Linked DNA regions of Diceros bicornis minor. The protein of the gene in region 1 interacts with the protein of each later gene in a biochemical or structural test. Links are inferred from orthologs where the notes say so. Each region holds a gene or a part of one and is shown on either strand. Other genes may lie near its edges. The genes, in order: CABIN1 and MEF2D.

Region 1 (16,175 bases):
ACACAGGAGGGGTGGACCTCTGGTGGGCTCAGTGTCTGTGACTTGGTGACCAGCGGAGTGACCTCCTCTTCTCTGATGCCCCACCTGGATGGGGCCTCGGAAAGCTGGTGCCTGGACGTGGGGGTGGAGCGTGGGCAGAGACCTCACAGTGCTCAGCGTTCACCCCACCCGCCTGTCTCTTCCCCAGGCCAGCATCACAGCGATGCCTTTGTCCAGGTGAACCCCCTGAGAAAGGTGCCAGCCTTGAAGGACGGGGACTTCACCTTGACTGAGAGGTAATGGGTCCCTGGGCTGCTGCTGGGCCTTGTGGGGCCAGTCAGCCACCTGTGTGTCCACTGTTGATGGCTTGGATTGTGGCTTGTGTGTCCTGAACACCTATGCCAGCCCCAGGATGGAGAGTGGGTTAAAGTGGGCAGAGGAGCCCAGGGCTGGGAGGGGGCCCTGGCCTTGCTCCTGGCGTGTCCGTGCTTTGGATATGTTGGGGAGTGGTGCTGGAGTTGCCTCATCCTTCAGGACCCAGGCTGGGTGCCCCTTCGATAATGGAAGTGTTCTCTGAGCACACCCCCCGCCTTCTGAAATCCCATGAGATTTTGTTTTTCACTTGGTCCCTTAGTTCAGATGATGGGATGGCTAAGTGTAGAGCTGTGCGACCCTGGGCAGTCACCTAATCTCTCTGAGCCTCACATTCCTACTCTGCACCATGGAGATAGTGAAATGCTCCACCCACAGGAGTTGGGGAAAGACATGTGAGGAGGGGGGTCCTACCTCACCCAGAGCCCGGCCCCTGTGGAGTAGCTGAAAAGTGACTGGGGCATGTCCCTTGCACTTGCCATGTCCCCCAGTGTGGCCATCCTGCTGTATCTGAGCCGAAAGTACAAGGCCCCTGACCACTGGTACCCCCAGGACCTGCAGGCCCGCGCCCGCGTGGATGAGTACCTGGCGTGGCAGCACACAGCTCTGCGGAGTAGCTGCCTCCGGGCCACGTGGCAGAAGGTGAGCTGCACCTGGGCCGTGTGGCACACGCGAGGGGCAGGGCCCCTCCCAGGATGCTCCACGAATGGTGCTTTCTGTTTAAAACATGCCCTCAGACCTGAGACCGTAGAACACTGACTTCTAGAGTGCAGACTCCCTAGGCTAACTGACTTCAACTTGTTTCTCAGAGGGGAACCTGAGCACAGAGCCAGGGACTGACCCCCAGGTGCTGCTGGAAATGAATCCTCTGCCCTTTTGCACACTCCCAGCTGCCTGGGAAGACTGCCTTTTGGGGGAGAAAAAAATCAAATCCTCACTTTGCTACACATAGACTCTCCAGATGGAGAGGTCAAGTTAAGTGAAAAACTCAAACTAGGAGGAAATGAGGAGACATTTCAAGAAATGTCGGTCTGCCTTCTGGGTGGGCAAGGATTTCTAAGCCTAAGAAGAGTGGGAGACTTAAAGTAGAGTAATTGATTTTACACAAACAATGAAGTTTTGTGTAACGAAAAAAGGATTAAACTTAAAACAAGCGAAAATCGGGAAGATCTTGGCAAAGATATATTAGAAAGAAATAACGTTTTTAATATTTAAGATATTCTTAGAAACCCATCAGACAAAGACACGAGAGAAAAATGGGCAAAGGAAACCAGCAAAGATTTAATTGAAGGAGAGAGAGAAATGGTCAATAACTGGACGGAAACACATTTAACCTCAGTAAAAATCCAGTCAGTGCACATTAAAGCAGCATGCACGTACCATTGTTCCTTATCAAAGGTGCAGGGGTTTTGAAACGTGTCCTCTGAGTTATTATTTGCAGAGTGCTTACATGGTGCCCGGCAGGAAGTGGGTGTCCTGTGTGTGAGGGAGCATGACACGGGCATGCTCACGCCCTGCTGCAGGGAGGGCACCACTGTTCTGAAGGGCCATTTGGCAAAAAGTAGGTTTCCATAACCTTGAAAGTGTCTTCCTTGAGCCCCTAGGGGCTGGGAGAGGAGCCCCCTCAAGCTGGTGGGGGCAGGAGCCTGGTGCATTTGAGGGCAGAATGGAGAGAAGTCGAGTCGAGTGAGTGTAGACCTTTGCTACTCAGAGGGTGATCCCTGGACTAGGAGCATCAGCATCACCTGGGAGCTTGTTGGAAATGCAGAGTCTCGGGCCCCAGTACCCAGGCGTACTGATTAGGAGTGTGCACTGTTAACCAGACCCCAGAGGGATTCGCATGCACATTCCCATTTGAGAAGCCTGGAGTGGAGTAGGAGGTGGGGGTGGGGAGATAATGGCTGCTGCACTGGTGAGGGCCTTGTGTTGAGGCCTTTTCTGGTGAGGGCAGTGGGGAGCCATGGAAGGCTTTATGCAGGGAGAAGACCAGGGCAGACTGGATTGCAGAAGGATCCCCACTGGCGGCCCTGTGTGAGGACCAGGGAGAGGTGGAGGCTGTCCCTGTTGGGGTAGGAGATGACACTGATGGTGGCCATGGGTAGAAGGGGGTGGGCTGGAGTGAGGAGAAACCTGAAGGATTGGTGATAGACTGGATGAGAGCAGGAATCAGGGTGGGTTTGGGGCAGACCCTGAGCCTTCTGTCTGCCTGCCCACCCACCAGTTGATGGGCCCTGTGTTACTGGGTGAACGAGTGCCCCCCGAGACGTTGGCGTCTACTCTGGCCGAGCTGGACAGGTGCCTGCAGTTGCTTGAGGACAAGTTCCTGAAGGACCAGGCCTTCCTCGCCGGGCCCCACATCTCAGTGGCTGACTTGGTGGCCATCACAGAGCTGATGCATGTGAGTGCCGAGGGGTCGGGTTGCCCAGTGGGCAGTGGGGCATCCTGGGAGGGAGCCAATGTACCAGCTCATGTTGCCCTTTCTGGCCCTGGGACCCTGGGCGAGTCACTTCCCCCTCCGAGCCTCAGCATCCTTATCTGTAAAATGGGGCTTCAGAATCCTGCAGGGATATTGAGGAGCTTCCCAGTGTCTCCTGGAAGAGAACCTCAGCCTACCACTGGTGTGGCAGAGGAGGGAAAGTCCACCAGAAGAATCCCTAACCAGGTCATGCTGCCTTGTACTTGACCGTGCTCAGCCCCCCGCCCGGCTCCCTCTCCCCATAGCCCGTCAGCGCCGGCTGCCAAGTCTTTAAAAGCCGACCCAAGCTGGCCGCGTGGCGCCAGCGCGTGGAGGCCACGGTGGGGGAGGACCTCTTCCAGGAGGCCCACGCAGTCCTCATGAAGACCAAGGACCTGCCTCCACTGGACCCGGCCGTGAAGGAGAAGCTGAGGCCCTTGGCGCAGGTTTTGTTGCAATGAGCGGGGGCCAGGCCTGCAGAGCCAGCGACAACGAAGGAGACTCTGTCGTCAGAAGAAAGAGATGCCTCTCCTTGGCTGTGAGCAAGAGATCCTGCATAGTCTCCGGTCCGCGGTTCCCTCCATGCATCAGGCCTGCATTCCTTCTTTTGTCTGTCTCCTCCCTTACCCCTTACACTCTGACTTCCATGTGCCCTCTGGAGAGAGCTTTAATAAACACATATTGACCCTGTCCCTTCTCTGTTTGAAACTTTCCACGGTGACTCATTGACCTGAGGCTGAAATACAGGTTACTCAACTTTGCATTCAAAGCCTTGCGCCCACCCCTCCGGGCTACCCCCTCCAGGTTGCACACAGTAGCCCATCATTTCCCGGCCCTCCCAGCTCCCACCTCAGCCTCCTAACCTTGGCTCAGGCTGTGTCCACTGCTTCCAGAGGCCTCCTCACCTTCTTTGCGTGGTGCCCCCCCGGGCCTTTTCGCATGTGTCACCATGTGGCTTCTCCAGGGACACTTCCCCAACCTCCCCAGCCCCTGGGGGAGTCAGGTGATCCCGTCTGGGCTCCTCAGCCCAGTGCTTCCCCCCTCAGTCCTGGCAGGGAGCTGGTTCCACGCCCCCTGAGCTGAGCACAGATGGAGGTTGACCCGGTGAAGAATCAGGTTTGAATCAGGCCTCAGTCTCCTAGGTCTCTCTCCCTCTGGGTGACACTCTTTCCCACAGGTGGGGTGCAGGCCTGGTGCATGAACCTCCTTGCAGGGAGGGAAGTCCCAGGTTAGTTCCTGGCCCCCGGGTGCTGCCCAGTGGCCTTGAACCCCCCTGCCTCCTCATAACCCCACCACTGTCTTCTCCATGCCCCACTGTGGGTCCCACACTTGCCACCTGTCCCTGTCCTTTCCCCTCAGGACTGTCACCACCTACCTGCCTTGTGTCCCAGACCCTCTGATATCTGAGTCATCTAATAAACTGCTGATGGGACAGGGTCATGACCAGACAGAGCCTCCCGCCCGCCTGCCTTTCTGTGGAGGCTCCTTTAATATGCCCGCTTATATAGAATTTTAGATGTGTAATTGAAATTGTTCATATACACCCACACAATTATATTTTCATCTACAATTCAAACCACTTTGCAGTACTGATGAGAGCACCCTGTTTAGCCTTTTCAACAGATGTCCACGTTTTAAATAACACCTTTTGTTTTGCCTACAAAAAGGTAGGGTACCCTAAACGTTGCTGGGAAGTCGACCAGGACCTGGCTCGCTCTCACCCCCTGGTGGACAGTACTTCACTGTGAGGCGAGGTTGCCGCAGGCACAAGAGGCCACAAAGGCAGACGTCTGTGGGGGCCAGGTAGGGATGCAGTGAGCCCGAGGGTCTCTGGCCAGCCCTACCCGAGCCCACACGTGTCACCAGGTCTCCTGATCAAGAGAAGCGCAGGTTCCCACGTTGAACGTGAAGTTGCCTGAATTTGAAATGATGGCAACTCATTCAACAACATTTGCTAAGCCTCTGTGACGATGTAACGTTATTAGGGTCGAGCCTGGGGAACGCCCCTACGGCGTGTGTGTTTGCGGGGCGTTCAGACCTCCATCTAAATGTGGGCCAGGAAGCAGACACCGCAGCGCCCGAAAGCCACAGGGGACGGAAAACCGCGGCCAGTGTGGCGGCAGGGGGGGCGGGACTGGGGCGCAGTGAGCGGGGCCAAGCCTCGGCCGACGCCTCGTTGGGGGTGGGGTTACACGGAGTGGGCGGGGCGGCAGGACTTCCGGAAATCAGCTCCCGCGTACGCCGAGGTTGTCGGCCGGGCCGGGGTAGGCAGCCAATCGGGGGGCGCTGCCTGCCTGCCCATCCAATGAGGAGCCCGGTTCCCGTGGCGCCCCGCCCCTGCCCCCTAGTCTCTGACCCTTGGAACATGGACCCGGACTCCGCGCGTTCTTTCTCCGCGGTGGTGGTTTGCGCGCCTTCCTGCTAGACATGCCGTTCCTTGAGCTGGACACGAACTTGCCCGCCGGCCGCGTGCCCGCAGGACTAGAGAAGCGGCTTTGCGCGGCCGCCGCCGCCATCCTGGGCAAACCCGAGGACGTGAGCGTGGGCCTGGGAGCACCGGGTTGGGGGAAGTCGGTGGACCAGGGGTCGGGCTCTGTCCACGCCCCGGCTGTCCCACCGTGACCGACAGGGACCCCTGACCTCCCGCTCTCCACACTCCCCACGTCTGCTCCGTGTCGCCTTCCCCAGCCATGACCCCAACGTGACCTCCAGGGACCCCGGCCGGTGCCCCCAGTCCTGATCCCACGGGCCCGTGCGTCTCGGACCGACCCCGCGCCGTTCTGTCCTCAGAGCGAGCCTGGCCTACAGCGGCTTCTTTCGTGTCCCCCGCAGCGCGTGAACGCGACGGTGCGGCCGGGCCTGGCCATGGCGGTGAACGGCTCGACCGAGCCCTGCGCGCAGCTGCTCGTCTCTTCCATCGGTGTGGTGGGCACGGCCGAGGAGAACCGCGGCCACAGCGCCCGCCTCTTCGAGTTCCTCACCAAGGAACTGGGCCTGGACCAGGACCGGTGCGTAGGAGCAGGGAGAGGACCCTCTTGGACTGCTGCGCCACCGGGGGATAGTGATCCTACCTCAATGCCCCTCCTAAAGTTGGGGGAAAAAATAAATTCCTGGCACTACAGAAGACTTGACCCTTGACCTCTCTGGCCCCCTGGTGGAGGGTCAGCCTTCAGAGTGGTATCAGAATTGAATGAATTCCTGGCTCTGCAGCTGTCCCTATGACACCTGGGCAAGGCGTGACCTCTTAAACCTCTGTGTTTCCATCTGTGAAGGGGGAAGCCTTTCCTTTAACCACTCCCTGGGGACACTGCATGGGATGGCAATGTATTATATTTGCTTCCGCACCTGGCAGGTTAGGATGTTGTTATCTGACAAAGCCATAGCCATATCAGCTGCCTACATCTTAGAAAATCAAGAGTAATTTTCTTGGAGAATTTCTCTGGCCTGGTGAGGTGGAATTCTGGGTATGTCCTGAGGCTGTGGCCTTTGGGCCTGTGGCCCAACCAGGTCCTAGGTAAGGCTCCCAGGAGGGTCACGGAGTAGTGGTAAGAGCATTGGTCCAGATGTCTGGAGGCCTGGGTTCTGGGTCTAGCAGAGCTGGGGACCCAGACAAACCTGGAAGTGAACCCTCTCTGGTTTGTAGCCTTCTCTTCTGTGAATAGAGAGGCATGGATTCAGTGATTCCCCAGGAAGCCCCTACAGCTCCCAAACCTGGGATCCTGTGGCAAGGTTAAAGTTTCTTCCTGGGCGAAAAATATTCCTGAGCCCAGTCCATGCCTGTGAGGATCTAAGGGCATGAGAAGGTTGAAAGAACCTTTGAGAATGGAGCCTTTGTTGGCCCAGAAAGGCTGGTGAGGAATGGTCACTCCTGGGAGGTGCTCGGACCTGGTCCTCAAGGTGAGGAGAGACGATAATTCTAACAACAATAAGTAATGTGCGAATACTTATCACGCGCCAGGTGCCCTATAGGTGCCTTACGGGCATCATCCCATTTGATCCTTACAAACTCTGTTCCCCTCTGCACACCCGCTCATGCAGACATGCCACCCCCATGAGGTAGATACCTCCATTATGCCTAGTTACAGATGAGAAAACTTGAGGTGGTCACACATACTCCCCCCAAGGGTGTCCTGGGAGCCTGCAGTTTGGAAGAGGGAGGGCTGCCCTCTGAGCCCATAGACAGGGCATACAGTGACCACAGAGGCTGCTGTGTTGAGTAGCCTTCCTGGGTGGGACACAATGAGGTGCAGCCACCACCCCGCCCCTGACAGGCCCACTGCCCTGTTGGGGGTTGGGAGGAGAGGCAGGCTTGCAAATGCCCGGGGGGCTAAGGCCGGCTGGCTGGGGAGCCCATGGTGGGAATGCCTGGCTAGGGGTCTTGGAATAATTAGCCAAGGAGCTGATGACATCTTTTTCTTTGTCTCCTGAAGGATAATTATGCGCTTTCTCCCCCTGGAGCCCTGGCAGATTGGCAAGAAGGGGACAGTCGTCACTTTTTTATGATTGGCATGGAGAGCATCCAGGGCATCTGTGAGCTGGCGGCCCCTTCCACAGAAGCCTTCTGGCAGAGTGAGGGCTTGGTGGATACCAGCTTCTGGCACCCCCACGTGCAGACATGCCTGTGACCTCACAATCCTCTTCTTCCCCATCCTCATTCTAATAAATGAAGAGAGCTTCGTCTTTCAGACACGACTTCTTTACTTCCTTTTACCCCTCCCTGGCATTCTGGGCCATCCTGGGCAGAGGGGCTGGCTAATGAGGTGGGGACTTGAGGGAACCTGGGAGGTGGGATGTTGCCTGTCTTCAGGGCCGCTCTTTCATGTATTGTATTTAGGCTGCTCAAATCCGAGGGTGGAGGGCTCAGCCTGGAGGCCCTGCTCTCCATGCCCATGTGCAGGCTGGTAGGGAAGGCTGCCAGCCTGCTCTAGCCTGGGCCTTCCTGCAGACTCTGCTGACCAGATGTTTCCATTCTCAGCCTGGGCTGGTCTGGGCAGTTCCCTCCCCTTGAAGGGGACTGCTGTGCCCAGCAGGAGAGCAGGGCAGCCTGGGATTCAGAGACCTTTCCTGGGCGTTGCCAAACTCCGTCTTCTCCCATGAGTCTTGCTGAGAATTCTCTGTAGCTGTGCACCTTGTAAAATCCATGTCCCAGAATGGCAAACCTGGAAAGGCAATGTCTGCCACTAGAAAGTGAATGAATGGGATCTCCGCCCCCCCATCAAAATACCATGTCATGCTTTTGCATTTCAGAGAATATACAGGTGGGGTGGGGGGAGCCCAGAGGAAGTGTCCTTTTCAGTTTCCTTCCAGATGTTCAATGAAGAGTTTACATGTCTTAAGACTCTGTGGTGGGTGCTGTGTTTCCCTGCACAGTTAAAGGTTTGATCATCCTTGTCTGTAGTGCACCAGTGAAACACCAGATGGAGATGTTCAGTCTACGCAGTCCACCTAGTTAACAAAGTTAGTTTCCAGTGGAATGTGCCTCTGCCTGCTGTGTTTGTACCTGACCACTGCTGAAGACTCACGAAAAGCTAGAGCTTGGAATTCCTTCCCCTGGCTCCCTGTCCCAACTGTTTCTGCAGTCATTCCTTCCGCCAACATGGGTGTCCTGCTTCCCAGAGGGGCTCAGGGAATATTTGTGGGTTGTATGTAAAAGAGCGATTGAAGTGCCCAAGGAGGGATTCAGCCCTAGCCCCTGCCAGGACCATAAGGCAACAGCCTCCAATCTGGTCTCCCCACCTTAAATCTCTCACCCCACTGTAGTGAGAGGGATGTCATCTGCTTGCTGTGGGGACTGGCCCTCCCCCCTCTCCAGCATTATCTCCCCGTTGTGGCCCTGAGCTTTGTCCCCTGGCAATACCGTGCTGCCCAAGGCTTCTGCCTGTGGCCTGCACTCTTTCTCACCGCCAAACCCTTGCCACACAGCTCCCTGCTGTTTGGACCACCCTTCTCATGTTTTTTCGACTGTCTCAGACTGTCTCCAGAGCCCCTTTCAAGATACAACTGGGGGTGGAGGCTGCACCCTAGGTTGCATGTTATCCATGAAACTTTGAAACCATCTGTTTATGCTTCTGTTCATTGCCCCTGTCCCCCAAGGCTGTACGCCTCTCAAAATCAAAGTTAGTGACTCAATTATTTTTGTACCTCCTGGCATATCAGTAAAGCTTTCTTGTACTGAACTGACTCTATGAGTTCTTCACCAGGATTTTACTGTCTTGAAAGTCAAAAAGAAAGTCATGTCATTCATTGCTATTTAAATCATCCTTGCTGGACTCCAGCAGCTATGAGGTTCAACCACAGGGTGAAGGCCTCCCCCAAAACGCTTAGCTCCCAAGAGCGTGACGTCTCTCAGCCCGAAGCTGAAGCCGCGCTCGGCAACCCTTCCGTGCGGGACCCTCTTCTCGGCTCTGGAATGCTGTCACTCCCTCGTTTCCCGGGTCTCTGAGTTTTGGGTTTTTCCCCCCTTTGTTTCACTAGTTGATTGCATCTGTGCCTTTGGGCTTCAAATCCTTTTCGGAAAGAGGTGAGGCACAGGTAATATGAAGAAGACGACTCTTCCTCCCCGGGTTCCCTCTAAACGTTCCCCACGTTTCCACTGCCTTCAGAGCACCTGTCCCGCTTGTAACAACGATAACACAGCCCGTCATTTGGCGACTGCTCGGGGCCAGGCACCGAGCCCGACTCTTCACACGTATTACCAGCGGTGGAGCCGGGAGTCCGACCGCTCCGCGAGCCGGCGCTCCGAGCCCACAGCAGCGCGCGCACACAGCGGAGACTCACGGAGGTTCGAGATGCGCTTCAGGCCGCTCGGCTCGGCGCCCGACGCCACCCGCAGGGGCCCAGCAGCCCGCCGGCCGGGCGGTGGAGCAGCGCGTGCGCCTCGCTGATTGGCTGGCGGAGCCGGCACCGCAGCCAATGGGAGCGCGCCTTGTTGTCAGGCGCGCAGCCGGCCGGCGCGGGGGACGGGGCGGTCGGGCCGTTGCCGTGGAGATGCCTGGTGAGTGCCGGGGAGCGTGGGGCGGGTGTACGCGCGGGTTGGGGGCGGCCCCCGGGAGGTGGGGCGCGACTCTGCGGAGCCGGGGCGGGGTGGGGGCGCGAGCCTGAGGGGCGGCCGGCGCTGGGGGATCCCCCGGCAGCCTCGGTGCGGCCGTCGGAGAAACCGAGGCCGGAGCGCGGGAGCGACGAGGCCGGGCCTCCAGGCCGCCCCGGGGGCCGCCTCACGGCGAGCCGCCGCCCCGGGGGCCAGGACGGGCCCGGCCTCGGGAGTGGTCTCAGGGACCACAGCACGAGCCGCCATTGATCCCGCGTCTGCCCGGGCCGAGACCGGCGCTGACCCTTGACTCGCGTCCTTGCCCTTCACCTTCGCAGCAGCCCTGCGAGGTGAGTGTTGTGATGATCGCCCTTTACCGGGAGGGCACCGAGGCCGGGAGGTCCGGGGACTCGTCCAAAGTCACCCAGCTAACCGGGGGGCAGCCCGATTCCCCACGGCGGTCTTGACTGCGCTGCCTCCCGGGCCGGGGCGGGCCTGGCCAGGCGGAGCTTGCCGGCGCTCGCAGGTGTCTGCTCCAGCGGCTGGGGGCGCCACTTCAGTCTTGGGGCCTGGGTACGACAGGCCGTGGCCGTGGGACGGTCGGCTCCCGGGCGGCCAGGGTGCCTTCCGTGTGGTTCATAACCGTGGTTAGAACTGAAATATCCTCAGAGGGGGCTGCTTCAAGGGCCCGCAAACTTTTGTTGTAAATATAATAATAGAATAGTATTTTTTTTAAAGATTTTATTTATTTATTTTTTCCCTCCAAAGCCCGAGTAGATTGTTGTGTGTCATAGCTGCACATCCTTCTAGTTGCTGTATGTGGGAGGAGGCCTCAGCATGGCCGGAGAAGCGGTGCGTCGTGTGCGCGCGGGGATGCGAACCCGGGGCCGCCAGCAGCGGAGCACGCGCACTTAACCGCTAAGCCACGGGACTGGCCCAGGAATAGTATTGTAATATGTTGTGAATATAATAAGTATAATCATACTTATAAGAGTAAGTATTTTAGGCTTTGTGGGCCAGACTCTGTGTACTCCACTCTGGTGTCAACTGTGGATACAGCCAAAGACAATACATAGGAGAGTGGCCATTTTCCAATAAAATTTTATTTATGGACACTGGAATTAGAATTTTATATAATTTTCATGTGTCACGAAGTTTCTCAACCACTTAAAAATGTAAAAAGCATTCTGTGCTCCTGGGCTGTACAAAAACTGTGGGCTAATTAGCTTGTGGACGGACGCCTGGTCTAGTTTAGAGCTTCCTACTCTGAGACTCGGAGAGGGGCATCTTAGAGCAAGTCAGCGGCACAGCCTGGTAGTGCCACCCTGAGCTGCAGACCTAGGCTTCCCGGCTCCGGGCCAGAGCACACAGGAGACGTCACGGCTCATCACTGGACCCGGGTATGAGATGCTCAGAGTGTGCTCTTCTTTATCGTGTGTTCTTAAGGCCGTGAAAACCATGCTCTGAGGAATTTGGAAACTTGTAAGATTGAACTCCTGAATGCGCTATTCTGAGAAAGTGCAACTGCTGGGCTGCGAGTCCGAGAAATGAGTAGATACTTTCTTATGTATATGCAGTAGCTGCTTTTTTTTAAGCTCCTTTTAGTGGGTTTGTGGTTAACAATACAGATGTGGTCCCCATCCTCACATTGCTACAGATGATAAATACATAATCTCAGATGGTTGTTTCTTTTTAAACTTTTTATTTTAAACTAATTTTAGATTTAGATATTGCAGCAATAATACTGTGAGTTCCCATAGGTCACTCAACCTACTTCCCCTCAGGTTAACATCTTATATAATCATAGTATAATTATCAAGAACAGGAAAGTAACATTGGTACAATATTATTATCACACCTACAGACCTAGTTCGAATTTCACCTGTTTTTCCACCAGTGTTCTATTTTCATTCCGGGATCCTATCCAAGATCCCATATTGCGTTAAGTCATTTCTCCTTAGTGCTTAACAGTTACGTGGTCTTTTCTTGTCTTGGCCTTCTACTTGTAAAGAGTAGTGATCAGTTATTTTGTCTAATATCCCTCAGTTTGGGTATGTTTGGTGTTTTCTCATGATTGGAGTGACGTTGTGTGTTTTTGGCCAGAACAACACAAACATGGTGTTCTTCTCAGTGCATCATATCGAGGAGTTGAAGATGATGTTGTGTCTTATTACTGGCGATATTTACCTTGATCACTTGATTCAGTTGGTGTTGCCAGGTTTCTACACTGTGAAGTCACTCTCTTTCCCTTTCTAGTCGGTAAGTGTCTTGGGGAGATACTTTGAGAGGATGCAAATTCCGGTTCTCACAGATTTACACTCACTGACCTTAGCATCCACCTGTGGATCTTTGTGTTGTTTGCCTAAAGGTAATTTCCTATTTCTCTCTCTCCTTTTACATTTATTAATTGAAATTCAATTGAAGGAAGAGCTATCCCTTCTCTCCTTTATTTATTTGATTATTATTTGTGTCAGGATGGACGCCATGGATATTCATTGTATTCTATGGGTCAGAATCTAATATTATCATCATTTTGTTGCTCACTGTTCCGGCTTTGGCTATTTAGGATCTCCTTGAGGTTAGCTGTGACAAACCCTCATCAATTTTTTGAGCACTTGCTTACTTTCTGGCACCGCAAGATGTTCTAGGCTCATTTTGTATTTTCTCTGCCCCAACCCTGGAATCACAGTTCTTTTTGTCTTTAGCCTTATAGTATCCAGTCAGGCTGCTGTTTTCCACGGTTGCTTAGGTTAGTTCTTTTCTTCCTTATGCCCTTCAGTGTGGTTATGTTATTTGTAATACAGTAGGTTCATTGTTAGTATATTCCATTTGGGGTTCCCCCTAGATCTTAGGTGATTTCAATTGTTTACTTTTTGAGTGTGAAACATGACTGTGGTTCTAAGAGTCAGAGCCATACACAAAGGTGTTCTCAGAGCAGTGTCCCTCCTCCTCACCCTACCACCCTGTTCCATTCTCCCCTTCTTTTCACCCCTTTCCCACTCACCCCCTATAGCTAAGTGATCTCTTTAGAACCTGGATTATCCTCTCTGTGTTTCTTTGGCACAAATGAACAGATGGTCATGTATTTTCTTATATCCTCTTCTTTCTCATATGAAAGGCGGCATGCTATAGATAATTGTGTTTACTTTTTTCACTTAACAGTATGTCTGGAAAATCACCTCATATCTGTTCATAGAGATCCTATTCATTTTTAAAAACAGTTTTATTGATATATAATTTATAGACCATACAATCACCCATTTAAAGTGTACAACTCAGTGCTTTTTAGTATATTCACAGAGTTGTGCAAGCATCACCACAATCAATTTTAGAACATTTTTATCACCCCAACAAGAAACTCTGTATCTATTAACAGTCACTGCCCATCTCCTCTTCTAGCCCTAGGCAACCACTAATCTACTTTCTGTCTGTATAAATTTGCCTGTTCTGGACATTTCACATAAATGGGATCATACAATATGTGGTCTGTGACTGGCTTCTTTTACTTGGCGTAATGTCTTTATGGTTCATCTATGTTGTCAGTAGTTCATTACTTTTTATGGCTAAATAATATTCTGTTGTATGGATATACCACATTTTATTTATCCATTCATCAGTTGATGGACATTTGAGTTGTTTCTACTTTTTGGTCATTCTGAATAATGCTGCTGTGAAATTCCCTCATGAATTTTTACAGCTGCATATTACTTCATTGTGTGGATGTACCATAGTTTATTCATTCACTGTACTATCTATGGCCATTTAGGTTGTTTCCAATATCGCGCGATTACAGACCGTTCTGCAGTGAATAACCCTGTGCATATGTGTTTTCATGTTGTTGGAGGTGAATGTTCAGTGTGGATTCCTAGAAGTGGAATGGCTGGGTTGAAAGGTTGTTACCTATTGTCAAATTCCCCTCAAGAGGGACTGTATTTGCATTCCCACCAACAATGTATGAGAATACTGCTTGTTTCCCTACAACCTCCCCAGCAGAGTGTGCTGTCCTACTTTCATTTTTGCCAGTGCGATAGGTGAAAAATGGTGTCTCAGTGCTGTTTTAATTTGCATTTCTCTAATTATGAGTGAGTTTGAACATTTTTTCATATGTTTTCATGTGTATGTCTTTTTTTGTGAATTGTCTGTTCATATCTTTTCCCTGTTTTTCTATCAGATTTTTGGGGGTTTTGTCCCTCGGGGTTTTTTTTCTCTTTTTTTAATCATGGTAAAATACACTTAACATGAAATGTACCATTTTAACTATTTTTAAATAGTTCTGTGGCATTAACCATATCCACACTGTTGTGCAGCCATCACCACCATCTACCTCCAGAACTGTTTTTCATCTTCCCAAACTAAAACTCTGTACCCATTAGACAATAACTCCCCATTCTTCTTTCCCTGCAGCCCTTGGCAACCGCCATTCTGCTCTCTGTCTCTATGAATTTGCCTGTTGTAGGTACCCCATATAAATGGAATCATATAGTATTTTTCCTTTTGTGGCTAGCTTATTTCATAAGCTTATCATAATGTCTTCAAGATTCGTCCATGTTGTAGCATGTGTCAGAAAGTCCTTTTTAAGGCTGAATGATATTCCATTGTATGAATACACCACATTTTGTTTATCCATTCATCTGTCAATGGACACTGGGCTTGCTTCCACCTTTTGGCTATTGTGAATAATGCTGTGTCCCTTCGTTTTTAAGAGCTCTTTATGTGTTAGAAATATTAGCCCTGTGTCTGTGGTACATGGTTGCAGGTATTTTCTCCCAAATGATCAGTTGTCTTTTGACTTTTGATTTTTTTTTTTGTCGTGCAAAATTTTAAAAATTTTTATGTAGTTAAATTTATTAATCTTTTCTTTCACTGCCTCTGGATTTTGAATCATAGCGAGAAAGACTTTCCCTATACCAAAGTTAAAAAGAAATTCATCCATGTTTTCTTTTAGTACTTGTATAGATTAATTTTTTCATTTAGATCTTTAATCTACTTGGAGTTTATTTATGTATATGGTGTGAGGTATGGATCTAATTTTATCTTTTTCCAAATGGCTACTAATTTGTCCCAACACCACCTGTTACAAAGTTCATCTTGATTCCAGTGATTTGAGATGCCACCTTTGCCATATTTTAAATTTCCATATATACTTGAGTCTAATTCTGGACCAGTTCTCTCTGTCTGTGCATGTACCAGTACCGCTGTTTTAATTATTAAGGCCCTATATGGTATGTTTTAATGTCCGGTCGGGCTCATCCCCTCTTGTAGCTTTTCTTTTTCACTGTTTTCCTAGCTATTCTTACATTTTTGTCTGTCTATATGAAATTTAGTGTCATCTTGTCTAGTGTCTTGTTGGTATTTTTATTGGGATTGCATTGAATTCATAAATTAAGTTAGGGAGAACTGACATCTTGATAATGTTGAGTCCCGTCCAAGAACAGAGGATGTCTTTCTACTTGTTCAAGTTTATGTTAGTATCTTTCAGTAGCGTTTTTAAATTTTCCTTGCGTAGGTTGCACATTTCTGTTAACTTGATTCCTAAGTGCTTAATTATTTTGTTGCTATTGCAAATGGTATTTTTCTCACCATAATGTCTTCTCTTTGTGTATGTGAAGGCTGTTGATTTTCGTATGTTAATTTTATATTGTGTTACTTGACTGAGTCCTTTTATTATTGTTTTATCATTGATTTTGGGGTTTTCCAGGTACTCTATCATATTATCTGCAGTTAATGCTAGTTTTACTTCTTCGTTACCCGTTCTTATTCCTCTAATTGGTGTCCCTTTTCTAACTGCAGTGCTAATACTCCTAGTACAGTGGTGGGTAGTAGCAGACATGATGGGTAACTTACTTTGTTGCTGATATTAATGGAAATACCTCTAGTGTTTCTCCAGTAAATAAGATTTTGGTTTTAGGACTAAGGTATATATATTTTACCTTGTTGAGAAAGTATCCCTCAATTTCTGTTTTCTTGGGTGTCAGAGGCTTTCTCTTCTACGGAGATAATCATGTGATTTTTTTGCCCCTTAAATGATTTCATTGTATTTTCACATGTGTGATATGTGTTTTCATTGTTAGTATTTCTTCAGATTTCTCCAATTTTAGTTGCATTTCCTTTCACCCAGAAGTTGTTTAATAGGAGATTCTTAAATTTTTAGATAGAAGGACCTTTCTTTTGCTGTTGGTGATGATGGTGTTAGTAAATTCTAGATTTAATGTATTGTGTTCAGGGAGTGTTGTTTTTAATATTTTTCCTTTATAGAAGGTGTTTTCTTTGTGAACTAATACACGATCAGTTTTTTTTGTGGATTTGCTGTGAGCACTGGAGAAGAACACGTAGACTTTCTTA
Region 2 (15,799 bases), on another chromosome or scaffold:
CCAACCAGCTTCTCCTCCCATTCCATGCCCCCCCCCCCCCCAGCCAAGCTTCCTCCCTTGGGCCTTTGCATTTCCACAGAGGCTCCTACCTTTTAGCAGACAGGGAAAGTCCTCGACCCCTCCCATCAGACAGGGAAAGTCCTCGACCCCTCCCATCACCCAGTGAAAGATGCTTAACCTGGTCTTTCATCCCCTAGCCCCTGCCCCACCGCCACATGCCCTCAGAGATAGTCTGAGTGTGGCACAGGTGCCCACCCACACACAATCACAGCATCCTGGAGAAGGATCACATACTTACACACTCATTAACACGCTGACTGGGTGAGGAGTACATCCCTCCTCTGTAACAGTCATGAGGAGGATGGGAGAGGGAGCCTTGAGCTTTGTCCACCCCGCTCCTTCACTGTCTCCCTGCACCCCCTTGGTGTAATCAGTGCCAGAGACCCCTCCTATGCCCTCCAGGTACACAGCCTCTGGTTGCTGAGCAACGGCGTGCCTCTTCCCCCTAGCTCAGCAACCTCCCCTGTAGCTCTAGTAGCAGCTGCAGCAGGGAGAGCCAGACTGGACCTCACAGGAACTACTGCTGCTGCTGCTGCTGCTACTGCTGACAGAGAATGTGTGGGAACAAGCCCCAAAATAGGCCTGAGTGTGAAACCCAAGGTTCTTTTTTAACGCCCAGGTCCCACACTGACTCTTGGAAAGTCCTGCCATGCTCCCCTGTCCCCAGCTTCTGCCAGGTGCCTTGTTCCCCCACCCATATTGGGTGTCTTAGCCCACTTGGGTGCTCTCATGTGTCTGCCCTTCTCTCTGCCCTGGGTCTCTGGATCTGCCCCTATGGTCTCTCCCTCTCTTGCGCATCAAGGCCTCTTGTCCTTTTGTCCATCCCTTAACTCCACATCCATGTGTGTCTGTCTCTGAAGTCTCTGTGGCTGCCCCACCCTCTCTTGCAGCCCCTCATGCTCAGACTGTGTAACTTCCAATCTCCCGTTCATTAACAGGAATCCCCTCACTCCCCAACTCCAAGGGTCAGCACTGTGATAATCCAAAGTTGCCATAGCAACCATGACCACACCCCCTGTTACCACATTTCTAGGAAAGGCCTGTGGTGGGAGGGGTCACAGAAGAGGCCCCCAGGAGAATCCTCCTTTCCTCACAGCCTGCCCTGGGTTTCAGCTTCAATGGAAACTGACACTGGACTTCTGGACAACCAGAAGCCTAGGCCCAGAAAAGAAAGAAAGTCCTTCCTGCAGCCTTCCTACCATCCCCTCAGCTACAATGTCAGAGTTCCCAAGAGAAGCCTCGGAAGAGGCTCAGCACCTGCCATGCTCAGGAACCTGCCCTACCCAGAACAGAGCTCCCCAGCCCCCAGCTGATAGAGTGCCCTCCAAGGGCATGGTATCCATCTCCGGGTCTGTGTCCACCTGACTTGACCTCTTTACACTCCCTGCCACCACACCTCCCTCAGTCCTGGATGCTTGGCTGTGACAATACTATCTGTGGATTAAGAACCAGGACTAGGGAGCAGTCAGCAAAGAGAAAACGAGGGGAAATACTGTCAGAGTAAAGGGAGGTGGGGTGGAGCATAGCTCCCAGGCAGGATAGGGTTGGAGGAATGCTGAAATGCAGGCACGAGGGAGATTTAGGGAGGGAGGCCTGGATTCTGCCTTCTAACAGAGGAAGCAGGCAAATAGCAGATGGAAGTTTCAGGCAGGAGGCCGGACCAAGTGACCTCACCCAAACCCTGTGGTCTGCTGCTATTGTAACCTGGCGAGTCTCCCGGCTCTCCTGGGTCCCCAAGTAGGAGAGCTTTTTATAGTTCACTCCCCAACTTGGGTTTGAATAATTAAAGAAGATGGACAGAAATAGCAGCTGGACAGCAAAGGCAGGTTATTTTGGGGTTTTCTGGAACACAGAGCGCTCCTGGGCGTCACCCTATCCCTGCAGGGGGCGGAGTCACCATCAAGGCCGATGGGAGATTCCTGTGGGGGAACCCACCCGCACCCCCCAGGGTTCCTTGGGTTGACAGGGTTGCTTTCAGCCAGAGGAGGGTCTCACCGCTTCTTTCTGGTCTTCAAGGAAGGCGGAGGGCTCTTGCTGCCTTCTGCTCATAGCTCCTCCTCTGGCAGGAAGTCCCTCTGTTGTCTGTCAGCGCTTCTACTTCAGAGATGGTGACAGATATTGAAAATCAGATCGATAAGCAGCTGCAAGACAGGCTGAACCAGGAGGAGGTGGCTACTGCTCCTCTGGTCAAGGAGCCGGAATCAGGTGGTAGGAGGTCTTGTCCCCCCTCACCCCTAGACTATAACTATCAGGAAGCTGTGGAGGGAAGGAAGGTTGGGGTGTAGGATGGCAGGCAGAGCTGGGGAGAGGAATTGGTAGAGGAACAGATCAGGCTCCAGAGAAGAAAAGGCCAAAGATAGATTAGTGTCTGGGCCAAGAAGCTCTGAAGAGGCAAGAAGCTCCCCTCTTCCAGCTTCCTTTTAGTGTCCTCTATTCCTGGCAGAAGTCCAGCCTCGGTGTCCTGGGACAGGGTTTTAGAGCTGAGCTGGGGATGTGGAGAAGTTGGGAGGACCTCCTCGGGTCTCCATCGCAGACCAATCATTTGTGGTTTGTTTGCATAATACTTTTGGTTTAACCACAGAGATTAGGGCCTCACCCCAATTCTACCTTGAGGCTCTACCACAGAACTTAAAACCTGGGGTACAGAGGGGGCATTTGTAATGTGTTCTCCCTTTGGGTAACAACTTCAGCGGTGGGTTTGGAGGTCAGATTCCAGGAAATGCTGAAATCATTCATTAATTCAACAAACATTTTAAAGCATCAACCATAAGCCTCACACTGTGTTGGTGCTGGGCATAAATTACAATGGCAAGGTCCTTGCTCTCAAGAAGCTCATAGTTTAGTGAGGGAGATGGCCATCTTAAAACCTACTCTCTACGATTATTGAGCACACACTATGCAATAGATACCATACAAGAGCTTCACAGAAATTGCTCTATTTAATCTTCATAGCAAGTCTATGGTCTAAATAGCATTAGCCCCATCTGACAGTTATTAGAACTAAGATGAAGAGACTTGTCCAAAGTTACTCAGCTAGTAAACAGTATAAATGGAATTGGAACCACGTTTACACGATTCCAAGGTCTGTGCTCTTAACCGCTGCCCAGTGGTCGCTAATGCACGGAAGGAAGATGCAGGTTCGTTAAATCATTAAATGCTGTGGGTGTTGAAAAGAGACTGAGATTGTCTCTAGCTGCAGGTATGTGCTATGCATGCTGGGTGGGGGTTGGCGGTGGGGCAATCAAGGAATGCCTCCTAGAGGAGGTGGCTTTGCACTGGACTCCATTCATGCTACAAAGACTTTAATTGAGTATCTACTAAGTGCTTTGTTCTTGGTGCTGCAGATACCAAAGTGAACAAAATCCTTGCACTATGGACATGCTGGACAGGGATAGAGGAAAGGCTGAAATTATAATTAGGCGAGTCTTAAATGCCAAGTCTCCTTTACTCTCAGAGTTGTTCTGCTCCTCCTGGGTTTCTCTCCCAGGCACAAATACCCAAACTTCTGGCGAATCTAGAGTAAAGGCCTGGCCCTCCTACTCTGGGAAGTTCTTCCTAACGTCTATCCTGCATTTCTTCCAGTTCTAATAAATTTCCCCACCTCCCATTTCATTTCTCTTTTTCAAGGCCAAATCTCACAGCAGTAACCGGGCAGGCCAAAAGAGTCTGGCCCTTTAAGGCCACCTTCTTCCCCCCACGTGCCGTCAGGTTGGGCTGGCGACGCTGACGCACGCGTGACGTCAATGGCAGCTGGCGGAGTCTGGGCACGAGGAGCAAAGTTGGGATGGGGGTGGGGGGCGAGAGCGTGAGGGCGGTTCATTTGCATTTAAAGGGGCCACTCCCGGGTTAGTGATCAGGGCTTTCAAGAAATGTGTTTCTGGCAAACTTTCCGTCTTGGGCTATGGGGCAAGAAAAAGGCGTGGTACAGCTGAAGTCGGTGGTGACTCGAGTTTGCGATGTCAATTATGTCCTTCCGCGGAAAGGGGAAAATAGTCCGTCGGTGCCTGGGCTGGAAGCACGTGACCTGGAGGGGGCGGATGGGGGGGGAGAGGGAAGGAGGGAGGAGCTGGGGAGACGACTGTCAGGCTTCGTTTCAGCTGCCCCCACCCCCACATCCTGCCCACCCTCCTGCAGCTGCCACCACATCCTGCCCAGTCGGGGGCAGGGAACTTGTAGGGGGGGCACTGACCGAGGGCCCGGCTTTGGTACCCCTTCCCTGCCCCCTTTAGTTCCAGGGTGGGGCCTCTGCCCTTTGCCCGGGGCCTGGCCCCAGGCACCCGGGCACTAAGCTTGGGGCACAGCTCTGCCAGCACAGCCTTGGACACCTCTCTGCCTGACTACGCCGCCACCCTCCACCCACTCCCCCTCCCCAGGGGGGGACTTGTCCGAGCCCCAGATCAGAGCCCCATCCCTGGGCTAGCACAGTTATCAGTGGACGAATAGAGGTATTCAGTAAAGTTTTTACAATCTTAACTCGGATACACAGCTACACACATACACATATACAGATTCATGTAACGGATATCTGCTGAGCACATCCCATGCAGGGCCCTGCAAGGCTCTGAAGACCCAAAGTTGAGTTAAACTGCTGCCCTCAAGGAGCTCAAGATCTGGTGAAGAATAATATTGGAAACCAACAATGTCAGTACCATATGGTGTGTACTGATGAGGTAAATACACAATACAGAGCACTATACATAAGTAGAGGCACAGGATGACACACAAGTCCACACGGAGAATGTATACACAGAAGGACCACCAGTACACCGGCTGATGGCCCTTCCTGTCGCAAGCAAGGTGGAAGATGTGGGGAGAGATTGGTGGTCTTGACTGGGATTATTGGAAAACTGGGAGGAAGAATGATCAGCCAATGGAAGGGATGAGATGGATGGTGCTGGGGGGTGGAGATAGCAGCCATAGAGCCATACAGAGGCTGAAAGAGCAGGAATGGCTTCCCAGAGACATGGAATAACAGGCAGGAAGAGAAGCAGCCCTTGAGGATGAAGAAGACCTCTCCAGATTAAGTTGGATTCGGGAGGCTTGGGGAGGCATGAATAAGGGGAGCTGTTGGTGTTCTTGTGCCATGTAAACTTGGGAACTTGATGCTTGTACAGAGGAGTTTACACACACTTTTTAGGACTTTGGTGGGCATCTGTCTGACTCCTAGGGGATTTTATAGCAACTTTGGGCTGTTAGATGATTTTTCTCTAGGAAAGATGGGTTGGTAGCCAGAAGTGGAGAAGGAAAAATGAGACCCAGGTGTCTAGTCTGCTCAGGCATTTTCCGCCTAAGAGGATTCTAGGACCGCTGGTCCAGGGGCTAGAAGAAAAAGATGCAGAGTTAGTTTCAGGAAATGTTCATTATAAACTAACTTCCAGCAGCATTATTCCCTAGATCCTTCCCTGTCCTTCATGGAAATCAAGACCTCATGTTTATAACTTATCCTTTCTCATGAAGTTCTCTCTAAATAAATAAATAAATAAATAAATAAATAAATATTCTGTCTCCCTTGTAATATCAGCCTTGCCTACTCTGTCCTGCACTGTTCTCTAGTGAATTATCATTTCAGCATCTCAGGGTTCAGGACACTCCATCTCCCCTACTGAGCTCTTCCCTCCCCTCCTTTCTCCCTCCTGCTCCTGGCCCTTTAACACCCTCCCAGGTGACTCACCTTCCTTCCTCATTCTTTTGTTAAGGACCCAACATTCCACGGGCAGGGAGGACTAGCTGGCCAATCACAGCCCTGGCAAGCCTGCCTTGGGCTTGAGATTGGCTGGAACTGTGGTTGGCGGGAGACTTACCATGCAGAGCTATAGGAGGTTGGGGAGGGGGTTTCTGGTAATTAGTCCTGGGAAAGAATTTGTTCTGGGGCTGCTTATGTTTTTGGAGAGAATCCTTCAAGTGGAGCTGGGGCCAGAGGGGTCTCTGGCTTGGAGAGCCTCAAAACTAGAGGCAGGCGGAGAACTCAGTTCTCTTGGTCTCCTGCTGGCTTGGGTGCCCCCTGCCCACTTTGGTTTTGTTGTATGATCTGGGACCCAATGGTCTGAAGGCTGAATTCCCAGGCCTGTTCCTAAGAAGTCTTTTCCAGCAGCCTTGGATCTCTCCAGTCTCAACATTCTGCTTTCCCGACGTCGGAAACAGCCGGAAAATAAACACCCTGATGACTAAACGGTTTCTCCAGCTAGAGCCTGGGGAAGCACTAAAAATAGAGGCCACAAGTGAGGGGAGGTTCCCCACTTGAGGGAGGGGGGGCACTTTCCCATCCTGCTACTGCCATAGCCCCAGGCCTGGCACAAGGCTCTGTTCTTCTCCGAGTCCTTGGGGACAGGGCAGATGGCTCCCCCTGCCTCCCCTGAAGTCCTTCAGGCAAGCTAGCTCTGCCTGGCAAGGAAGGCTGACATCTTCTGGTGCTGGGGCCCCATCTCCCAGATCCAGTGGGCAACTGAGAAGCTACATTTGGGGACAAAGTAGGACACTTTAAATCAGGTTTCCTGAAGGAGAGGCCAGGTGGAAGGGTTGGAAACTGAGGCCAAGGAAATAGTTTGCTGGCTTCTGGTCTGGGGACATACAGGACAAGCCTCCAACCTGTTTGCAGAGCAATTCCACTGAACTTGCCTCCTTTGAGGCTTGTATGGGATAATGGGCCTAAAGGTGTCTTTGCAAGTCCAGCCCTTGAGTTATTATAATGCAGAATGAGGCACCATTCTAAGCAATTTACTTGTATGAACTAATATAATCTTCACACCAAATTTATGAGTTAGGTACTATTATCACCATCTCCATTTTACCCCTGAGGATCATGAGGTACAGGGAAGCTAAATAATGTTCCTGTGTTCAGTTAATAAATGGTGGAATAAGGATTTGAACCAAGGCAACTTGACTACTCCAAAGTTGACACTTCTAATCACCATGACATGCTGCCTCTCTTTGTATATATTAGTCTCTTCGGCATTTAACCCAGAATCAGAGTCTTTGTTCAGTAAATCAGACCCAGCCAGATAGAAATCAGGGTGTGTGAAGAACTGAGTGCCCTTCTGTTCTGCAAGGTTCTTTGAGATCTAAGCCAGATTCCATCATTTCCTCAAGCTCCAGGTAGAAAGCAGCAGGACTTGGAAGTAACAGTAATGCTGGAGAGCAAATGTGACGGGACATTTATTCAGTAGGCTGGCCCCTAAACTCCTGTTGTAGGACACATAAAGATTCACCACACCTTGGGGCAACCAGGAATTTCTAAATTTTACATTTTTTGTAAAGAGCTACTACTGCTTCTGTAACAAAATGCTTTTGGGCGTTTCCTGTGCTGGGGCAAATTAGGGTCCCGCCCCTTTAAATTGCCCCCCTCGGCTGTAAGTGCTCTGGGGCCCGCAGGCACTGGGGATTAGGTCACCCAAGAAGTATGAGCTGTAGCTTTAAATTGCTGGGCGTCTGCCGAGCCGGGCCCGGGGAGGGGAGGGGTCCTGTCACAGGTAGAGGGAGCAAACGAGCTCCCCAGGTAACTCCCCAGGAATGAACGTGTCCCTTTAAGTGGGGCTTCGGCACACATTAAGTGGGGGAGATGGAATCTTTTCACCACTTAGCGTCTACCCTCAATTTATCTACTTAGACTCCCACCTCCCAACTCTCCGGGGGCCTGGCGGGAGGGGGGTGGGGATGTCGAGGTAACGTGTGTCTGTGAGAGTGTGCGCGCAGCCCGCGGAGCCTCCCCAGAAAGGACCTCCTTGAGCGCGTGGTGGCAGCAGTGTTAGGCGGCCGTCCGGCGAGCTCGGAAGGGCTCCACGGGCGCAGGCCGATCCCTTTAAAGGCCTCTGGGTCTCGCCTCGCTACTTCGCCTGGCTCCGTCCCTTCCTCCCTCCCTCCCGTCTGGCGGAGGGATCTGCCGCTCCCGGCGCTGCAGCCTAGCTTTGGAGGGCGGTGGGGTGGGGGCCGACCCGGCCCGGCCCGGCCGGCCCCAGGGAAGCGAGGGGCGGGGCCGCGTCCCCAGGACCGCCCCTGCTCCGGCCCCGCCCCTCCGCCCCCACGGGTTCCTCCCATTGGCCCCCCCACCTGTCCATCACCCCCGTTCCCCCACCCCTCAAGCTAGGCTGAGCTGTGCCTACGTCGGCCTCGACTCCTGGGGGCTGGAGGAGTTACCTTTGGAGCCCGAAAGGAGGAAGGAAGCAAAATATCAACAACAGCCGAGGCGGGTCGGGCGCTCGGCCCCGGTCCCCTGCTTGCCCGCCGCCCGCCTGCTCGCCCCCGCGCCCACGACGGGGGCCCAGGCCCCCCGGCGCCGCCCAGGGCCCGCGCGGACGCCGGCCTCATTTATTATTCCCCCCGCCCGGATCTGCGGCTTCCCAGTGTTGAAGATCTCTCGGACCAGGGGCGAGGTCTACCCCCTACCAGCTGTGACACCCCCCTTCCCCCAGCGGGGCCGGTGAGTAGGGAAAAATAATGCGCCTGCCGCTTTAAGAGGCCCCCTCCCCCACCCCGTCCTGGGGTTGGGGTGGAGGGTGGTCTAGACCGTCCCCCTGAGGGGTGGGATGGGGTGGCCTCCTAGGCTGGGAGGAACTCGCGGAGCGGGCTGTGTTTTCGTGTGGCGTTGGTGGGAGATTACATGGGGACTGTTTGTGTTAGGGAGTCGGCTGTGGGGGACAAGTGAAGTGGGCTGTAATTCTCTTAGGTGTTGGGGTCGGGGTGGGCTTGGGGGCGCGCTGGTCTGTTGGTGTCTAGGGGTTATGACGGCCTCCGAGTGGTCTGGGAAGGGGCGCCATCCTCAGAGGGGGTCTCCGGTGACAGCCAGGAGCGACTGACATTTTAACAGCCGGCCCTCCCTCCCTCTCCCTCTTCGCGCCGCCTGTTCCCTCCTCCTTGGCCCGAAATGGTGCAGAAGGGGGCCTGGGAGGGCGGCGGGAGGGTGGGGGCGGGGGGAGCCGCAGCTGTTTGGGAAGCGGGGGAGGGAGGGGGGATGTTGTTCAGATGACACCGGGGTGGTGGGTTGGGGTGCGTGAGTGTGTGTGTCCGGGGCCCCGGGTTTGCCGGGTGCCTGTGAAGTTGGGACGCGGAGTCACCACGGAGGTGGACACGCAGGACCCTTCCTTGGGATCTCTTAGCCTGCTTCCGAGACCCTTGATCTGGTTTGTCAGCAGCCCCAGCTGAAGAACCCCCGGCCAGAAGTTTGCAGCTGTTCAGCATCTGGGCAAGAGTTCTCCGGCCCCTCTCTCCACCTTTGGCAGGCTGAACTGGGCCAAGAGTGGGGGTCTGGGGAATGTTGGAGGGGCTTTGGGGGAGGGAGGGCCAAGAAGACTAGAATGCATCTAGTCCCTCACCCCAGTGCCAGCCCACATTCTATCAGGTTTGGGTCTTACAGGGTTTGGGGAAAGGGTCTCCCTCCCTCTAGTAATTCAGACTGACCTCTCAGCAGATTCCTGAGGTCTCTCCCCATAAAGGAGGGCTGCTGGGTGTGGGCACACTTGGAGCCACTGACTAGGTTATCCCAGGTTTGTCCTTCTGAGTGGGAGGTTCTCTCTGCCTCCCCTTAAGCAGTGCATTGTTGATGGGTTGGGGGAGGGCACAGTGGGTGGATCCTGTTTCTCCTACCCTGTGCCCAGCCCCACTCTTGAGGTCTCCTTGTAGGCCTGGTTTCTTTGGTTTGGGGGAAATCAAACGCCCCTCTCCCCTCTCCCTTCATTGGGTCTCCTAGGCAGTTCAGGGGCCAGCCTGGACTATGGGAAGTTCACCGTCTGGGGCGGTGACCTTGGGCTGTTCTGGCCTGGAGATAGGAGGGGAGCTCAGGCCAGCACGAGATTGGGTGTTTTGAAGTTTGGGAGCTGTTCACCTCCCACTCTCCTCCAACCCCCCAACAGGGAAGTCTTAGTGACCAAGGAGAGCATTGAAAAGGCACATGTTAGTGTTCACAGATGTCTGCCTGCCTGTGGCCACTGGGTCACACCCGCCCCAGGACTTAGCCTGGCTGTCCCAGCTCCCACGGCCTGCCTGGGAATGAATTTCCTTCCTGTGGTTTCCCAGTGTGTGGGGCAGGAGATGGGGGTGGGGTGGGATCAGTGTGAGGGTTGCTGAGGACCCATTTGTATGGGGTGATTGGGGGACACTGGAGCTTATGTATAGCTCTTTCCCCACTTCCCCCACACAGGCATTTGGACCGTTGGGTCTCAGTGGTCATATTTTCTTTGTTGTAACTCCTCTACTCTGCCAGCACATCTCATATGTGTTTGTATATGTGTATGTAAGTGTATGTATGTGCATGTACATTTGTAGGGGGAGGAGTCTGGGGAAAGGAGGAGCTTTCCCTCATGCTCCTTTAGATACCAGAGAAGTCGAGCTTTTTACCTGAGATCACACAGCAAATCTGTGTTAGAGCTTTAGTCCCACTGCCACTAGTCTTTCAGGCACAGCTTCATAGTAGGAAGAGACCGTAGGAAGGAAGACACAATCCTTGCTCTTGGAGGCCTTGGTCCAAGGGGAGAAGCAGGACCCAGTCAGAGAGCATCATAACCCTTGTGTTGGGGGATGGGCATGGGAGATTAGGCTGGAGCTTCTGTCTGCTGTACCCAAGGCCTGGAACAGAGTGGCAGAGGACTTGGAAGGGTAGCGAGCGCTGACCATTGTCCACCTCACTCTGTATCTGCTGCCCCTGGGCTGAAGGGGCCTGGGCGTCCCAGTTCTGCCCTGCTTGGCTCCTGGCTCATCTTATAGGCTGGGAGATATGATAGTCTTTCTGGCTGCTGTTATATAATCTCTCTCCAGCAGGTTTTTTTTTTTTTTAATCTTCTCTGGGTCTTTCCTGGGAGGTGTGATGAGGGGAGAAGGTGGAGGGTAAACTCCCCAGGTTGGGGGCTAGAGGACTAGTAGCAAAGAGGCTGGGATAGACCCCCTGGTCCCTGAGAGGTAGAGGGGAGAGGAGGCCTTGGAGTTAGACCGTGACTGATTGTGACCTAGCCCCTCCCACCCTCTTCCTCTGACCCTGCCCTGGGAAGGTCTCTCTGATGTGGGCATCCCTGGCCTTGTGCCCTCAGAGAGGCCTGCCCCTCTGCTCATGCTGTCAACCTTCACCTTCTGGCCAGCGGGGCCCCCTGCCCTCCCTGTTTGGCACTGGGTCCGGAATCTCAGTGCTTACCCTGGCCTGGTGTGGGTGGGCCCTGTGTTGAACACTCTGCCACCCAATTCTGTACCTCTGCGGGTGCAAGGGGAGGCAGGGATAGATGAGTGGGTCCAGCATTTCCCTAGTTGTATTTGGAGCCAGGCCCCTGCTTCTCTGCCCCTCTAGTCCAGAGGGTGGTGGCCTTATTGGAGAAGACGAGTTGGTGGGGTGGGTAATAGAGGCCTCGACCTCTTGGGCACAAGTCATGGTTGGTGTTCACCTGGGTTCTGTCAGTTTATATGAGGATCAGATGTGGTCCTGGAACCCATCCTCAAGTGTCAGATTCTGGGTCTTGTGGCATGTGGTGGCGGGGTCTCCCCACCCCTTCAGGCCATGGCTGGGACTCTCCAGGCTCTCTGAGGCCAACTGGTTTGCGGCAATTATCTCCCTTTAAAGGGAAGAAAGAGATGGTGGTGGGGCCGGCATAGCCTCAGCATCACTGTAATTGCTGGTGGCTTTTATGAGCCAGGCATGGGGCCGGAGTCCGGCCAACCGTCTGTCCTGTCCCAGTTTGGTTACTTACTCGGGGGGGAGGGGAAGGTGTTAGGTACTAGCAGCTCTGCTCTGGAAGCTGGACACCTTGCTGTGCTGCAGTTGATGTCGCCTTGTCTGTCCACAATTGCAGCAGGCAGGCTGGGGCTTAGACCTCAGGAAGAACTTCCCAGTGGAGCTAAATGGGAGAGAGAGAGATGGCTCTAACTTGGCCTGGGAAAGAAGGGGGTCTCAAAGCACTTTCTTCTCCAATGGCTCTTGGTGGCTTTGCTGAAAGGCCTTGAACCTTGGCCTCGTGGGGATGGTGCTCTTTGGCTCCTGGAATATTTATTTTCCCTTCTCTTCCCCTGCCTGAGGCTGAGAGTCTTCTGGGGCTGTGGGGGCTGGGTGGGGGTCTGTGCGGACGGGCATGCCCAAATGCACCTGGCAAGTCCACAGCATTTCGTGGTGGCAAACACGCATGAAGGTGTGTGGCACATACACACCAGTGTGTAGACACCCACGGAGCAGCTGCCGCCCTGTGGGGGGTGGGGGGGTAGTGAATGGCAAAGATGATTAAAGGATTGGAGACTGGGGATAGGGTGGGGGGACTGGAGGCAAGAATGTGAAGGGTGTGCAAGCACTCTGGAGAGAGAAGGGTTGACTAGAGCAGGAGGGATTGAGGTTAGACCACAGACGGGCAGACCTAGAGTGTGCCTTGTGAGTTGAGGAGCCCCGGCTGACTTGCATCACTACCCCTCACAGCCCCCTCCCCCGCATTTATTCTTCTCTGTGGTCCTGGCCCAGCCTGCCTCTGCCCCTCACTGACCGTGTGCCCTTGGGTAAGTCAGCTTTCTAGATGTGCAGGAGTTTCACCAAGCCTTGTGGTGATCAGAGCACCCCGGTGTTTGTTGCTGGTCTCTGTTGCCCTCCCCACTCACCCTGATGAGCGAGGCCACTCTGAGGTGTCAAGATTACACCTGAGCCCTCAGGCATTTTGGGGCAGATCCCTGGCCTGGGTGATCCCCAAGGCCCTTTGCATCTCATTTTTACTTTCCTGAGGCTGCTGCTACAACCTGTCCTTCCTGGGAGCCTAGCCCTGCTTCTGGCCCGGCGTGGAGACAGGGGGATGCATTCGTTGATTCTGCACAGGACCCCCATAGCCTTGGGGAGGGGAGGCGGTGGTACCTGCCCTGGGTCTTTCTCCCTTCTGCTGTAGGGTGGGAGGGGAGGGGCTTGTCTGGAGCTCTCGCTTGTTGCTAGCCACACCCAGGCGGGACCATATTTACTCATTTAAACTCACCCTCCCAGGAGGCTCTGGGCTCTAGGCCTGGTCACTGACCTTGGCCTGGTGCCTCTGGCGGAGTGCTCTGGCCACTCCCCTAGGAGTTGGGCAGACCAGGGAAGCATATAGAGAAGGAGCTTTTTTTTGGTCAAGAGAGCTTTACCCTCAGGCAGTACCCACTCTCCCTGTTTTCCAGTATACTTTGGAGACAGAAAACTAAAACTTTTCAGGTTCCTGGGGACTGGAAGAAGGAAACTTCCATTTGCTGAATCCCTGTGTGCCCAGCTCTGTACTGCGCATGGAAACGTATGGAGACTCATTTATTTCTCTCCACAACTGTTTTTTATATTTGGGGAGACTGAGTCAGAGATTTAAGGGACTTGCTCCAGCTTTCCCAGTTAGGAGGTTGAGGGAAGGCTCCTGCTCTGCAGGTGGGGCAGTGGAAAAGGAGGTCCAGGGAGACCGGCGAGAAGGAGCAGGATTTGGTGAAGGGAAGAGCTAACCTAGTAGGATTCCCTGGCAGAGGGCAGAGGATTAGGGTTTGGTGGCAAGTTGAGGGGGGATGTGCTTTCTGAGAAGGTATTGTCTTCTGATTGAGTGCCATGGGAGAAAAGCCCCAAAGCAGGGATATGAAGGCAGGAATGGATGACACTCAGAGACCCCTCCTGGGTACCCGTTAGTCCCCCCTTCAGCTACCAGCTGAGATGCATGAGGAGAAAGACTGGAGCGGGAAGACTTGAGCCACGAGAGTCCTGGGCTTGTCTGAAGGCAAGACACAAGGCCGAAGTGAGCCTCCCAGGTCCGGAAATTAGGGAATCTGCGCTGGAAGGAACATGCCGTAACCCTCAGGTGGAGGGAGGCCCTGCCTGCTCTCAGCCCGGGTTGTGCGGGGAAGCACTGTGCTCAGAAGTCAGCCCACCTCTGCCGCTTATTCCAGGTGACCTTGGGCAAGTCCCTGCCCACCTCTGAGTTGGTTTCCATTTCTGTGAAAGAGAGATGCCTCACTGGGAAAGGAAGGTGGTTCAAGGGGAAAATGTGTGGTACTCCACACAGAGGGGGTGCTTAGAAAGTGGGTGCCTCCTTTCTTCCAGACATCAGCTCCAACCCTAAGCAGCCACCCAGAAGCTGGGGTGAGGTCAAGGTCCCTGGGTGGGGACTTGGTGTGGAGGGGGACTGAGGAGGCCCTGAGGAGACCTCCAAGCCTGGGGCTCAGTCTGACCCTGGGATGGGCTGGGGAAGCTGAGTCCAGCCCTGCCCTCCCCAGCCAGCTGTCTCCTTGTCTCAGAACCTACCCCCTCCACACTTCGTCCCACGACTCTTAACAAGTCCCTCTGGCTGCATGCTCACTTACTCCTCAGGATTTCACCACCCCCACCCCGCCAGCAAATACCTGGAGTTGAGGGTTGGGAGAATAAGGAAAAAGAGGGAGCTCATCTCCGAAGCTCAGGGGAAACCACACAGTGGGAGTGGCCGTGGGTGGGCAAAGGAGGGGTCGGTCTCTTTGCCTTTGCGTGGAGTCTTCCACTCCAGCTGGATCAAGTAACATGGACACAAGGGGGTGGAGCAGATGACCTCGAACCTCGAGCTTTTCTCCTTAAAGCACACATGTGTTATGTGTATGGTGAGGGACGATGGTTGGAGGTAGAGCAGGAGGAAGGGCTGATCTTAAAGGGGTGCTCAGGCCTTCTTAGTCACATCTCTCCTTGACCTCTGGGCCCCTTTCCTCCTGCCCCCACAGCTGCCTGCCTCTCTGCTGACTCCCCTTTGCATACCCCATGGCAGGCCTGTGGGGCCCAGGCTGACTGGGTGGGGACAGGTGTCCTGGCCCAGCTGCTCCCTCTTGTCTCCCCCACCTGTCAGCCCAAGGGGTGGGGAGCTGATGGGGAGGGGAGAGGAGGAACCTCTTGGCCCCTCACCTGCTCCCTGGGGTGGGGCCCTGCTTGTAAAGTACAGCAGAAGGATTGAGAGTAGACAACAGGCAGGACTTCCCACTCAGGGGAAGGATAGCTCCAGATCATAGGAATGGCAGAGAAAGCTTGGTAGGCAGGGGTCCTAGCTGGCAGAAATCAGAGGGGTCTTTGCATAGTGGCTTCATGAAAGGGTGAGGAGCACAAATCAAATCAGGGGGCAGGTATTTGCATAGCTGTGTGCAGGTACGCCCCCCCCCCCCGACTGGCCGCCTGGCCCCCTTCCATCTGGCTGGGCATCTTAGCTTCACCTGGCACCTGTCCTGAAAGCAGCAAGCTAATCCTGTAAGAGCTGCCTGGCCGGCCGCCTCAGCAGGCCCATGCAGCCGCACTGCCCACCCTCCCCTGCCAGGGGCTTAGAGGACTGTCCTTCGAGTCAGAAGGGGACCTGGCCGCCACCCTGAGCGGCCCCTTTAAATCCTGCGTGGCTTCCTGAGGTCATGATGTCTCTAGGAGGATTTGCTTTCCCTGATTGGATTGGCCTCCTTCGCCCCCCTGGCTGTAATTGTGCCTGGACACATCACATTCTGAGCCTCCACCTTCCCTTCCATCAGAATTGGTGCTGGCCTGTCTGAAGACCCAGGCCTCAGGCCCCCTGCCCTCTCTCCTTGTCCTCACTTCCCAGCAGCCAGGGCTCGGACCCCCTGTATCTGCTTCAGCCAGAGCAGCCCTGCCCCTGTTCTGTGGGAGGGAAGAAGGGATCTTGCTCTTTAAATAAGGGGTGAAACCACTGGCCTGGAGGAGAAGGCCCTTCTGAGACTGTCTACTGCCTGCTTTTCTCCACTTTTTCCTCTTCATCCTGCTCTTCCTTTGGCCAGGGGCCCACACTCCCTAGTTACCCCATGCCCTCATTTCCATGGGAAGTCCCTCCCCTGATCT

What was found.
Region 2: the proteins of CABIN1 (region 1) and MEF2D form a complex in vitro, tested with the Homo sapiens proteins (2 studies listed by BioGRID). The link is inferred for Diceros bicornis minor from reciprocal best matches to the Homo sapiens genes CABIN1 and MEF2D.

The regions. Positions count from the first base shown.
Region 1 is NC_080774.1:28,580,539-28,596,713, forward strand, and holds the start of CABIN1 (calcineurin-binding protein cabin-1), read left to right. Parts: upstream 1-9,759; 5' UTR 9,760-9,800; intron 9,801-9,974; exon of another isoform or gene 9,975-10,183; intron 10,184-16,175. Other genes in the region: glutathione S-transferase theta-3-like, read left to right, coding at 188-275, 843-993, 2,573-2,749, 3,073-3,267; DDT (D-dopachrome decarboxylase), read left to right, coding at 5,234-5,341, 5,597-5,814, 7,237-7,309. UniProt on the Homo sapiens protein: May be required for replication-independent chromatin assembly. May serve as a negative regulator of T-cell receptor (TCR) signaling via inhibition of calcineurin. Inhibition of activated calcineurin is dependent on both PKC and calcium signals.
Region 2 is NC_080743.1:60,055,998-60,071,796, reverse strand, and holds the start of MEF2D (myocyte-specific enhancer factor 2D), read left to right. Parts: upstream 1-8,079; 5' UTR 8,080-8,473; intron 8,474-12,970; exon of another isoform or gene 12,971-13,890; intron 13,891-15,799. UniProt on the Homo sapiens protein: Transcriptional activator which binds specifically to the MEF2 element, 5'-YTA[AT](4)TAR-3', found in numerous muscle-specific, growth factor- and stress-induced genes.